Saccharomyces cerevisiae S288C: one gene and its partners. Changing the gene in region 1 together with any one later gene gives a genetic interaction. Each region holds a gene or a part of one and is shown in the gene's direction. Other genes may lie near its edges.

Evidence for each region. A genetic interaction does not mean that the proteins touch.
Region 2: mutations in LIH1 (region 1) and AFG2 together harm fitness more than expected from each alone (negative genetic interaction), as found in Saccharomyces cerevisiae (one large-scale study listed by BioGRID).
Region 3: mutations in LIH1 (region 1) and MRD1 together harm fitness more than expected from each alone (negative genetic interaction), as found in Saccharomyces cerevisiae (one large-scale study listed by BioGRID).

Annotation. Positions count from the first base shown.
Region 1 is NC_001142.9:625,569-628,994, forward strand, and holds LIH1 (putative lipase), read left to right. Parts: upstream 1-1,771; coding exon 1,772-2,758; downstream 2,759-3,426. Other genes in the region: ECM27 (Ecm27p), read left to right, coding at 1-1,447; YJR107C-A (uncharacterized protein), read right to left, coding at 2,889-3,125; ABM1 (Abm1p), read left to right, coding at 3,144-3,426. UniProt on the Saccharomyces cerevisiae protein: Lipases catalyze the hydrolysis of the ester bond of tri-, di- and monoglycerides of long-chain fatty acids into fatty acids and glycerol.
Region 2 is NC_001144.5:912,050-916,804, reverse strand, and holds AFG2 (AAA family ATPase AFG2), read left to right. Parts: upstream 1-1,912; coding exon 1,913-4,255; downstream 4,256-4,755. Other genes in the region: SKI complex RNA helicase subunit SKI2, read left to right, coding at 1-1,649; tethering complex ATP-binding subunit VPS33, read left to right, coding at 4,495-4,755. UniProt on the Saccharomyces cerevisiae protein: ATP-dependent chaperone which uses the energy provided by ATP hydrolysis to generate mechanical force to disassemble protein complexes.
Region 3 is NC_001148.4:748,756-753,584, reverse strand, and holds MRD1 (RNA-binding ribosome biosynthesis protein MRD1), read left to right. Parts: upstream 1-1,665; coding exon 1,666-4,329; downstream 4,330-4,829. Other genes in the region: ALE2 (Ale2p), read right to left, coding at 1-284; PIS1 (CDP-diacylglycerol--inositol 3-phosphatidyltransferase), read right to left, coding at 666-1,328; serine/threonine-protein kinase DBF20, read right to left, coding at 4,585-4,829. UniProt on the Saccharomyces cerevisiae protein: Involved in pre-rRNA processing. Required for maintaining steady-state levels of 40S ribosomal subunit. Required for the initial processing of pre-rRNA at the A0 to A2 sites, leading to the processing of the 23S pre-rRNA intermediate to the 18S rRNA.

The DNA of each region.
Region 1 (3,426 bases):
ATCCAATTCTATAACACACGGCATTAAGCCTAGTTTGCTATCTGCTATGGATTTCAATAGTTTCTTATCAATGCTTGAAAACTCATCTTTGGAGGAGGATGACTCAAGGAATGAAATGGCAGAATTGAACACTCTACGTAGCATGACGCCGGGACAACATTGGTCCGCCTCTGCAACAGTTGCAGGAGAGGCAACGAGTGCTGGAAGACCTTTCAGTGAGCCAACGAATGCGTTTACGGAATATAGAGATTCTGAAAGAGCAATAAATAGTTCCCCAGCGGTGTTCGCCCCCTACCGTGACAACCCTGATGATGAAGAGTCTCAAGAGCAAGTATTATTGGAGACAACAACGCATGGTCATTTTGGTGCGCAAGAAATGCGAAGGTTCTCCAAAAGGTCTCTGGGCTGGATTATAAAAATTTTCATACCACATCTCTCAAATTTTTCCCAGAAATCCATCTCAGATGCGATCTTTTCCATAATAACTGTTCCGTTTTTCATTATTTTCAAACTATCATGTCCTCAACCGCCTTCAGATATTTTGAGTTATGATCCCACTTTGAACAGATACTCTTTAACAACGTTACCCATAATTTTATTATTTATCCAATCAATTACTGCACCCTTCCTCCTTTGCAGTATACTTTCTGTGCTTTTGACATATCATCTAGGCTATCTCGTTTACCTTTTCCCTCTTATATTAGCTATGGCCTTAATTTTACTATTGACGGCTTTTATTACAAAGGTAAATCTGCATAACAAGTTTACTCTGTCATTAGACAGCTCTAACATTTTACAGGAAAAGCTACAAAAAAGAAAACTCCTCGAAAGGCTTAACACAAGCATCCAAATAATTTTTCTAGCTATCGGCATAATAAATATCATAATTTGGATATCACTTTTAGCCAATTCTCTTATTGAGATGATGGAAATTTACCAAAAAATATTAGGATTATCGAAAGCTATTTTGGGCCTTACCATTTTCGCATGGGGCAACTCAGTAGGAGACTTGATCTCCAACATATCTATGTGCAGGCTCTACAAAACCCAAACTCACTACCAAGACAGAGTTCGTTTAGCCACAAAATTTTTTATGATATCATGCGCATCTTGCTTAGGAGGCGTAATGCTGAATTCTATGGGTGGAATAGGCTTTAGTGGGCTAGTATCAATGCTTTTTATTGGCGCTTTTAATGATAACGAATGGTGGTTCCTAAGAAAGGTTAAATTACAAGAAACAAGTCAATTGGATAATACATTAAATTACAAATTCATAGTTTCTTGCGTCTTCATTATCCTACAGATTATTCTCTTGCTGTTATTCTTCGGAGGGCCTAACAATATTAAACGGCGCCTCACAAAGGAGATGAAGTTAGTCGGAATCTCTATGTGCGGACTATGGGCACTAGCCACGTTGATTAATATACTTCTAGAACTGTTTAGCTAAAGCTTGCAAGAGTGCCTCCCGAAAAATTTGTTTTTGTGACATTTATCTGGCGCCGTAACAGATCCGCGCAGAACACAGAACACCAAGAAAAGAAGTACTATTTAATTTCAAGATTACTTAGACTCCGTCATTCAAATCGCCCTTTTATTCAAACAAAAATGGGCCATATATTCTTTCTGTCTCAACCTTCGTTTCCTTGGATGAATTATTTTGATTGAGCTCCAAAAAAAAAGTTGTAGCCAGGAACTATCCAAAACTTCGATTGAGAAACCCATAACAATGATGCCTGCCAGACTTTTCATACTATATCTTTTTGTAGTACTCATGCCTGTTGTTCATTGTTCGTCCAACCTGCCCATCACTCCATATATCTATGAGCGTCTAGTATATTTTATTAAGGCAAGCTCTATATCAAGCTGCATATCTGACAACTTACTTCTTGTTAATAAAACCTTCAACGACGGAGGTTGTCCACCACATATTAACTTCTGCAATGATGAGATAATTAACCCAACAGCGGGTCAAACAGTGGTTGAATTAGTTCTTAATGCAAAAAAAGGTGAATTAGGCTCGGGTTATCTGGCTGTTGACCACGGAAAAAAGGTTGTTATTTTAGCATTTAGAGGATCCACAACAAGACAAGATTGGTTTAGTGATTTTGAAATATATCCTGTTAACTATTCTCCCCTTTGCGTTAAGGAATATCGTAAGCTTATAGAGGAAGGAAAAATCAGAGAATGTGAAGGTTGTAAAATGCATAGAGGATTTCTAAGGTTCACAGAAACTCTCGGGATGGACGTCTTTAAAAAAATGGAGTCGATTCTGGAAAGCTTTCCGGAATATAGGATCGTTGTCACTGGGCACTCCTTGGGGGCAGCATTAGCAAGTTTGGCTGGGATTGAATTAAAGATAAGAGGCTTTGATCCGTTAGTGCTGACATTCGCAACACCAAAGATATTTAACAGTGAAATGAAACAATGGGTAGACGAGTTATTTGAAACAGATGCTATAGAAAAGGAGTCAATTCTTAAAGATGAAATTCAATTTCGTAAGGGCTATTTTAGGGTTGTGCATACAGGTGATTATATTCCTATGGTTCCACCATTCTATCATCCGGCTGGTTTAGAGATGTTTATTAACAAAGTTGGTCTACCTCAGAATGCGGAAGATATTGAATACCGTGGTAAAAATAACAGGTTAACTTTAAAGGATGGATTTCGAGAGGGTATGAGCGGTTTGGTTGAAGACTGGTTACATGTCTATGAACATCGAGCCTACTTCATTGACGTAGTGGGATGTTCTGGACTTTAACATTCACCCACTTTTACGTTTTTGTCTATAACTAGCATATATAATACCGCTCTAGAGTTACTCTAAACTAAATGCGACCACTATTCTTAACTAATAATTGTTCTTTTTACAAATAACTCTTTCAAAACTTCTAATCTTTTCTCTTACGTTTTCCATTTATCTGCTCTTCTTCTGAAACTCTTTTTCCTGCATTGGCCCTCTCTTTGTTACATGAAAGAGGTTTTAGGGTTGGTAATATTTCTGGTTGTAAACTTCTTGAATACACTTGGGTAGCTAACTGCTTATTCCAGTTCTCCTGGCCACTAATCCCGGCTACGCTTTTGTTGAAATAGTATTCTTCTACAGCATCATAGCTATCATCACACATGTCTACTAGTTTCCACGTATGTCTTGGAGGTACTCTATCTTGACCGTAGATGGAAGCTTTAAAATTTTCATCCCTTGGGAAATATTCCTCACGTGGAATTTTTTGAGCGCTGCATGGCTAAATTCTACCGAATCCAATACGTATATCCACTACTCAACATGTTGGGGCACAAGTGATTACACACTTAATATCTCTGTCATAGAAGCTACTACAGAGAAATTGGTTGACACTAGATTATTAACAACACTCGAGAATGCAACCGCTTGGATTAACTCAAACTCTATTGATGAAGACGAAGATG
Region 2 (4,755 bases), on another chromosome or scaffold:
GCAGCATCCGTAAACATGATGGTAATGGATTAAGAGAACTGACTCCAGGTGAGTTTACCCAAATGGCTGGTAGAGCTGGTAGAAGGGGCTTGGATTCCACTGGTACAGTCATTGTGATGGCATATAATAGTCCTTTATCTATTGCTACGTTCAAAGAAGTAACGATGGGTGTTCCGACGAGGTTGCAGTCTCAGTTTAGATTAACATACAATATGATATTAAATCTTTTAAGAATTGAGGCGTTGAGAGTTGAAGAAATGATCAAGTATTCTTTTAGTGAGAATGCCAAAGAAACTTTACAACCTGAACATGAAAAACAAATCAAAGTATTACAAGAGGAATTACAAACCATAGAGTACAAAAGTTGTGAAATCTGTGATAATGATATCGAAAAGTTTTTGGAATTGATGCTGGCATATAAGGAGGCAACAGTCAACCTAATGCAAGAAATGGTTAAATCGCCTTCGATATTGCATATCTTGAAAGAGGGCAGACTCGTTGCTTTTAGGGACCCCAATGATTGCTTGAAATTAGGATTTGTATTTAAAGTTTCTCTGAAGGATGCTGTTTGTGTCATTATGACGTTCACAAAACCATACAAACTCCCAAATGGTGAGCCAAATCATTTAATATACTTTCCAAAAGCGGATGGATACAGAAGAAGGAACTTCCCTAAATTCCAGAAGACTGATTTTTATATGGAAGAAGTTCCTGTGACGGCTATTGAAGTGATCACTAAACGCAAGTTTGCCGCACCCTTGGGAAAAGTGATTAAAAAGGATGTTGCCGCTTTGAACGAGTTTAACGCTGAAACAAATAACATTTTGGACGGCAAAACGCTAAAAGAAGCAATTAACATTGAAAAGCAAGGTTTAAAAATTCACCAAATATTGTTAGACCGTACAAATATAAGGGATGAGATATTCAAACTAAAAAGCATTAAATGTCCCAACCTAAGCCAACACATTGTTCCCAAGTTTAAGGCGCATGTAATTAAAAAGAAAATTGAAGAATTGTACCATTTGATGTCTGACCAAAATCTGAGCTTACTACCCGATTATGAAAAGAGATTGGCTGTTCTGAAAGACACTGAATTTATCGACCAAAACCACAACGTGCTGTTAAAAGGTAGAGTGGCATGTGAAATTAATTCTGGTTATGAGTTAGTTTTAACTGAATTAATTTTAGACAACTTTTTAGGAAGCTTTGAACCTGAAGAGATTGTAGCCTTATTATCAGTATTTGTTTATGAGGGGAAAACCAGGGAAGAGGAGCCTCCTATTGTCACACCAAGGCTAGCAAAGGGTAAACAAAGAATTGAGGAAATTTACAAGAAAATGCTTTGTGTTTTCAATACGCATCAGATTCCATTAACTCAGGATGAAGCTGAGTTTTTGGACAGAAAAAGGTTTGCCATGATGAATGTGGTGTATGAGTGGGCCCGTGGTTTATCATTCAAAGAAATCATGGAAATGAGCCCCGAGGCTGAAGGTACTGTAGTCAGAGTTATCACTTGGCTAGACGAAATTTGCCGCGAAGTTAAGACTGCCTCTATTATTATTGGTAATTCCACATTACATATGAAGATGAGCAGGGCTCAAGAGTTGATTAAGAGAGATATTGTTTTCGCCGCAAGTTTGTATTTATAGAGAGCTCATTTATTCTCAATGTGAGTCATGTTTATAAAAGTTAATGTTTTCGAACTCTTATTGCACACACACACACACACGTATACATAGTTTTTAAGTCCACTTCGATCCATCTTTATTTTTTTTTTCTTTCATGTAAGCAACGGGCGGACTATTGTAAGAAAATTTTATATTGCCTCATCACATAAACTAATATGCGAACAATATACAATTGAATTCTCAACATTGCCCATTCTCAAAATTGCCCAATCATAGAAAGGAAAATGGCTCCTAAATCTAGTTCTTCCGGTTCCAAAAAGAAATCATCGGCAAGTTCTAATAGTGCTGATGCAAAAGCATCCAAATTTAAATTGCCTGCTGAATTTATTACCAGACCACATCCTTCTAAAGATCATGGCAAGGAAACATGCACAGCATATATTCATCCTAACGTATTATCCTCGCTTGAGATAAATCCGGGATCATTTTGTACTGTCGGTAAGATAGGCGAAAATGGTATTTTAGTAATAGCTAGAGCGGGTGATGAAGAAGTACATCCTGTTAATGTTATCACCCTTTCCACAACTATACGATCTGTTGGGAACCTTATCCTTGGTGATCGTCTAGAATTAAAGAAAGCCCAGGTGCAACCACCTTATGCCACTAAGGTTACCGTGGGGTCCTTACAAGGATATAATATTTTGGAATGTATGGAGGAAAAAGTAATTCAAAAGCTACTGGATGATAGTGGCGTTATAATGCCTGGAATGATTTTTCAAAACTTAAAAACAAAAGCAGGTGATGAAAGCATTGATGTCGTAATTACAGATGCGAGCGATGATTCGCTTCCCGACGTCAGCCAACTAGATCTTAACATGGACGATATGTACGGTGGATTAGATAACCTGTTTTATCTATCTCCACCTTTTATATTCAGAAAAGGCTCCACACATATAACTTTTTCGAAAGAAACCCAGGCAAATCGTAAATACAATCTTCCGGAGCCCTTATCCTATGCAGCAGTGGGCGGCTTAGACAAGGAGATTGAATCACTGAAAAGTGCTATTGAAATACCTCTTCATCAACCGACGCTATTTAGTAGCTTTGGTGTTTCTCCCCCTCGAGGTATACTTCTTCACGGACCCCCAGGTACTGGTAAAACTATGCTTTTGAGAGTTGTAGCAAATACGTCCAACGCACACGTCCTAACCATTAATGGCCCCTCAATCGTCTCCAAATATCTTGGTGAAACGGAAGCGGCATTAAGAGATATTTTTAATGAAGCAAGGAAGTACCAGCCTTCCATTATTTTCATTGACGAAATTGATTCAATAGCACCAAATAGAGCAAACGATGACTCCGGTGAAGTTGAGAGCAGAGTCGTGGCTACATTGCTTACCCTAATGGATGGCATGGGCGCTGCAGGTAAAGTGGTGGTAATTGCTGCTACAAACAGGCCTAATTCTGTCGACCCTGCTCTCAGGAGACCTGGCAGGTTTGACCAAGAAGTAGAAATTGGTATACCAGACGTTGATGCCAGATTTGACATTTTAACTAAGCAATTCTCAAGAATGTCCTCGGATCGTCACGTATTAGATTCTGAAGCGATCAAGTACATTGCTTCTAAAACGCATGGCTATGTTGGTGCTGATTTAACTGCTCTCTGCAGAGAATCAGTTATGAAGACGATACAACGAGGACTAGGAACAGACGCCAATATTGACAAGTTTTCCCTAAAAGTTACATTGAAAGATGTGGAGAGCGCCATGGTTGATATCAGACCCAGCGCAATGAGAGAAATCTTCTTAGAAATGCCAAAAGTTTATTGGTCTGACATTGGCGGCCAAGAAGAGCTTAAAACAAAGATGAAAGAAATGATACAGTTGCCTTTGGAGGCTTCGGAGACTTTTGCCAGGCTGGGAATTTCTGCACCAAAAGGTGTATTACTTTACGGGCCGCCAGGTTGCTCCAAGACATTAACCGCAAAAGCTCTCGCTACAGAATCGGGTATCAACTTCTTAGCTGTGAAAGGGCCTGAAATTTTTAACAAGTATGTAGGGGAATCCGAAAGAGCTATAAGAGAAATTTTCCGCAAAGCACGCTCTGCAGCTCCAAGTATTATCTTCTTTGATGAAATCGATGCATTATCTCCTGATAGAGACGGGAGTTCCACCTCTGCAGCTAATCACGTGCTCACATCTTTACTCAATGAGATTGATGGTGTTGAAGAGTTAAAGGGTGTAGTTATTGTAGCGGCGACGAATAGACCTGATGAAATAGATGCTGCTCTTCTAAGGCCTGGTAGGTTAGATAGACACATTTACGTTGGCCCTCCAGACGTAAACGCCCGCTTGGAAATCTTAAAGAAGTGCACAAAGAAATTTAATACAGAAGAGTCTGGAGTCGATCTTCATGAATTGGCAGACCGTACAGAAGGTTATTCCGGAGCTGAAGTTGTGCTGCTTTGTCAAGAAGCGGGCTTGGCTGCCATAATGGAAGATTTAGATGTCGCAAAAGTGGAATTACGTCATTTTGAGAAAGCTTTTAAAGGAATTGCTAGGGGCATTACTCCAGAAATGCTCTCTTATTATGAAGAGTTTGCTCTAAGAAGCGGTTCATCTTCGTAAGCTTGTTCATAGTCAATTCTTTTCCTTTGTGTGCTCAATAATAGTAGATAGAAATTATACTGAACTCCGGTCATTTTGTATAATATATTAATCACTTCACACGAACATACATAAATAAAATATCATAAAGGTTAGCAAATTGGAACTAGTTATATGTTAATTAGTTAAAAGATAGAAAATTCGAGAAAGGAAGAAAAAGCTGATATTGCCCATCTCCAACTTTATCAAATCATTTCACGATGAATAGATTTTGGAATACTAAGAAATTTTCATTAACAAATGCCGATGGACTATGTGCTACCTTAAATGAGATATCTCAAAATGATGAAGTTCTTGTGGTTCAACCAAGTGTATTGCCAGTACTCAATAGTTTGCTAACTTTCCAAGATTTGACTCAATCAACTCCTGTAAGGAAAATTACGTTACTCGATGATCAGCTAAGTGACGATTTACCGAGTGCCTTAGGCAGCGTTCCGCAAATGGATCTTATTTTTCTTATT
Region 3 (4,829 bases), on another chromosome or scaffold:
GAAGTGTACTTCTTTTTGTAATGTTGAGCTTGACGTTCCGAAGTTGTCTTCTCATCTTTCTTGACGTTATGTTTTTGGTCATAGTCCAATTTCCATTTAACCAAATGTGGGAATAAGATCCATTTGCCAAAAAGAAACCAAATATGGTAGAATATAGCAACATAAAAAATTGAGTGCAAGTTGGAGAGAATCGCTTCCGACTTGATTATATTGCGATTTGCCAAGAACGGAATCACCGTGGTCTTAAATAATTCCGGTTGAGGAAGCGACAATAAAACATCCATTTTTTCTTGTAGGCAATGTTCACCTTCGTGCTTGAATTCCTTCCGGGGGGGGGGGCAGAAGCTTGAGATAGAGGAGAGGTCTTCTTCTTTTTCTTTTTGATCTGTCCAACAAACGTTTTTTCTCTCTCCTTGGCTTATGTTAAATATGCCCTCGGGAACTGCTCGAAAAAAACAGGAAAAAAACCGCGTTGAGAAAAAGTACCAACAATATGAAATTTTTCGTTTATTTGAGCATTTGTTGTGCCAAGTATAATCAAGACGATAGAGTAGGCTGCTTTTAAAGTTAAATCAACGAATGTTCCATTTCACATAAATAAAAACTACACATAAATAAAAGATTAGCGCAATTAAAAGGAGAAAAAAAGTAAGAAACTCATCCTATCAGTAAGTCTTGTTCTTCTCGTTGGCATTCTTGGCATCGTTGTCTGCTAAAATCAAGGCTGCCCTTTTTAGCTGGACAACGTTTGCGGTCTGCTTGAACACGTAACCAGGGAAACTTATGATTGTAGTCCATTTACCAAAGGTTGCAGAATTTGAGAACAACTGCAAGTACAATCCAGCATAAAATAGTTCGTTAAACGCACAGATAGTGAACAGTACGTCTCTTCTCGTGTAGTACAGGTGTAACAATCTGGACTCACCCTCGCCCACACTTTTATGAGAAGTCTTACCAGCACTTAAACTGGCATACATATGCATGTAGTGACTAGTAATATCCAAGCCCAGCATTAATTGGAAGAAAACGCACCATTGGGGATACTGCACACAAAGGAAACACATCAAGCCAGCGGTACTGGATCTGTCGGTAACCATGTCCAGAACGGCACCCAGACTGGAAACCTGATTGTACTTTCTTGCCATGGTTCCGTCTAGCGCATCCAGTAGACATGATGTACTATACAACCATGTAAAGGCCGTAGGATGATTCTTCATAACGAAAAAAGAAAGGGCGGCGGTGATAACACGAACATAACCGATCTTATTGGGAATATACCACAGAACGTGTTCTGCAGTAACCTTTTCTGGTGTTGAATTCGAACTCATCTTGTACTATCACACTTTCCCTCTTATTTACATTACTTGAAGGCTCCACAGTGACGGCAAATAAACCATACCACCTCTCATGTTTTTTATGTTTTACTTATATACTAAAAGTGAAAAATCCTCGAGACGGAAAAAACAATAGGAGGGGCTTTCCCTATTGAGAAATAATTTCCGTAATAGGGATTTACGTGCGGAGCGACGTGAATTTTATAAAATGAAAAAATTTTATGGAAATTTAGAGCTCATCTCATCTCATCTCATCGGTACTTCATATGCAAAGACTGCAACCTGAACTGAGATTTAATTTGAGCCTCAAGCACAAGATAACATAACTAACATGTCCCGTATCATTGTCAAGGGTTTGCCCGTCTATCTAACAGATGATAATCTCAGGGAGCATTTTACAAAAAGATTACGTCAAAAACATTCCCATCAAGCAGTTAATGGTAGTGGTCCAGACCTCATAACAGATGTTAAAATTCTTAGAGATAGGAACGGAGAAAGTAGAAGATTTGGATTTATCGGATACCGTAACGAGGAAGACGCTTTTGATGCTGTAGAGTATTTCAATGGCAGTTTTATCAACACTTCTAAGATAGAAGTGTCCATGGCTAAAAGCTTTGCAGACCCAAGAGTCCCGCAGCCCATGAAGGAGAAGAGAAGAGAAGCTCTGAAAAGGTTTAGGGAAAAGGAAGAAAAATTGCTACAAGAAGAAAATCGAAAGAAAAAGAAAGTGGATGAAAATAAGCACAGCAACATTGATGACGAGATTCGCAAGAACAAGCAATTACAAGAGTTCATGGAGACTATGAAGCCAAGCTCACAAGTCACATCATGGGAAAAAGTTGGCATTGACAAGAGCATAGAGGACGAAAAACTAAAACGGGAAGAAGAGGACTCCAGCGTGCAAGGGAATTCTCTATTGGCTCATGCATTAGCCTTAAAGGAAGAGAATAATAAAGACGAAGCACCAAATTTGGTCATTGAGAATGAAAGTGACGATGAATATTCGGCTCTCAACAGAAACAGGGATGAAGATCAAGAAGATGCCGGAGAGGAAGAAAAGATGATAAGTATTAGCAATTTGAAGGATACTGATATAGGTTTAGTTAATGATGACGCTAATAGTGATGAAAAAGAGAATGAAAAGAGGAGAAACCTCGCCCAAGATGAAAAGGTTTCTGACCTAGATTGGTTCAAACAACGCCGTGTAAGAATCAAAGAAAGTGAAGCGGAAACAAGGGAAAAATCATCATCATACGCTACTGAACAAAATGAAAGTCTCGATACCAAGAAGGAAGAACAACCAGAACGTGCTGTGCCGCAAAAGACGGACGAAGAACTGGCTATTGAAAAAATTAACCAAACTGGCCGTTTATTCTTACGTAATATCTTGTATACCTCCAAAGAAGAAGATTTCAGGAAACTATTTAGTCCATTTGGAGAGTTAGAGGAGGTTCATGTGGCTTTGGATACCAGGACTGGTCAATCCAAAGGATTTGCATACGTTCTATTTAAGGATTCTAAGAATGCAGTGAACGCCTATGTTGAATTGGATAAACAGATTTTTCAAGGAAGACTATTGCATATTCTTCCTGGTGAAGAAAAAAAAAGCCATAGATTAGATGAGTTTGATTTAAAGAATATGCCATTGAAAAAGCAAAAGGAATTGAAAAGGAAGGCAGCTGCATCCAGACAAACATTTTCTTGGAACTCCTTGTATATGAACCAAGATGCTGTTTTGGGTAGTGTGGCAGCCAAATTGGGTCTAGAAAAATCTCAATTGATCGATGCTGAAAACTCAAGTTCGGCTGTCAAACAAGCTTTGGCTGAAGCCCATGTTATTGGTGATGTTAGAAAATACTTTGAATCCAAAGGTGTTGATCTGACCAAGTTTTCACAGTTAAAATCTACAAATCAAAGAGACGATAAAGTGATACTGGTTAAAAATTTTCCTTTTGGGACAACTAGAGAAGAGCTTGGCGAAATGTTTTTGCCATATGGTAAATTGGAAAGATTGCTCATGCCACCAGCTGGTACAATAGCTATAGTGCAATTCAGGGACACAACGTCAGCAAGGGCAGCTTTCACTAAACTATCGTATAAAAGATTTAAGGACGGCATAATATATCTAGAAAGGGGGCCTAAGGATTGCTTTACTAAACCAGCTGAGGCCGATGATTTGATAAATAACACTTCTGCAAAAGAAGAAGAAAACCCGGTAGAGGTAAAACCTTCATCAAATGACTTAATGGAAGCAAACAAGGATGTAACTGAAGGGTCATCTAATGCTCATGATGAAGACGTTATTGATGGTCCAACTGTCTCAATTTTCATAAAGAATCTAAACTTCTCCACGACGAACCAAAATCTTACTGATAGGTTCAAGGTTTTCACTGGTTTTGTTGTTGCCCAAGTGAAGACAAAACCTGATCCAAAACATCAAGGCAAGACCTTGTCAATGGGGTTTGGTTTTGTAGAATTCAGGACCAAGGAACAAGCTAATGCCGTGATAGCTGCAATGGATGGGACGGTAATCGACGGCCATAAGATTCAATTGAAGTTATCCCATAGACAAGCATCTCAGAGCGGTAATACAAAGACTAAATCCAATAAGAAAAGCGGTAAAATCATTGTTAAGAATCTTCCATTTGAAGCTACTAGGAAAGACGTTTTCGAATTATTCAATTCTTTTGGTCAATTAAAATCTGTTAGAGTTCCAAAGAAGTTCGACAAGTCTGCAAGAGGTTTTGCGTTCGTGGAATTTTTACTTCCAAAGGAAGCAGAAAATGCTATGGATCAGTTGCACGGTGTCCATTTACTGGGCCGCAGATTGGTAATGCAATATGCAGAAGAAGATGCAGTTGACGCTGAAGAAGAGATAGCCAGGATGACAAAGAAGGTTAGAAAGCAAGTTGCCACTAATGAGATGGCTGCCTTAAGAAATGGGGGCGGTAGAAAGAAACTGGATGTGGATGATGAAGAAAACGAAGGTTTCTAGTTTACCCTATCAGCTTATCGTATTTTTCTTTCATAATTTACATTTTATTTGAATATATAAATCATATTACTACTTTAATAGCATAAAACTCTTCAAAACATCTCATCCCGAAAAAGATTACTAAACTTAAAAATTACATGTTGCCTTGGTTTCATAATTTTGGTAATCATTCAAAATGGAAAATGTTAGCACATCTTGTTGCTGTTGTCAATGTATCTGTTATGCTATACAAAATTAAATTGTAGGGACGTAATCTTAATAAAAAGTTGAAAAAGGGTCTGAATGTTCTGAACCATTGTAAAGTATCCCGCTTGAACCTTGTTTTCCATCTCTATGCCTAAAAGTAAATCCAACAAGCTTGGAATCAACGGCAGAGTCATCGACCATTGCAGATAATTTGTTCTGTCTTTTGAAGACATCTGCATATTTAGCCATATCTTCTTCATTTGTGAAGTCATCGAAATAACCTGCATCCGTTTCATCATCTAATTGAGGAATAA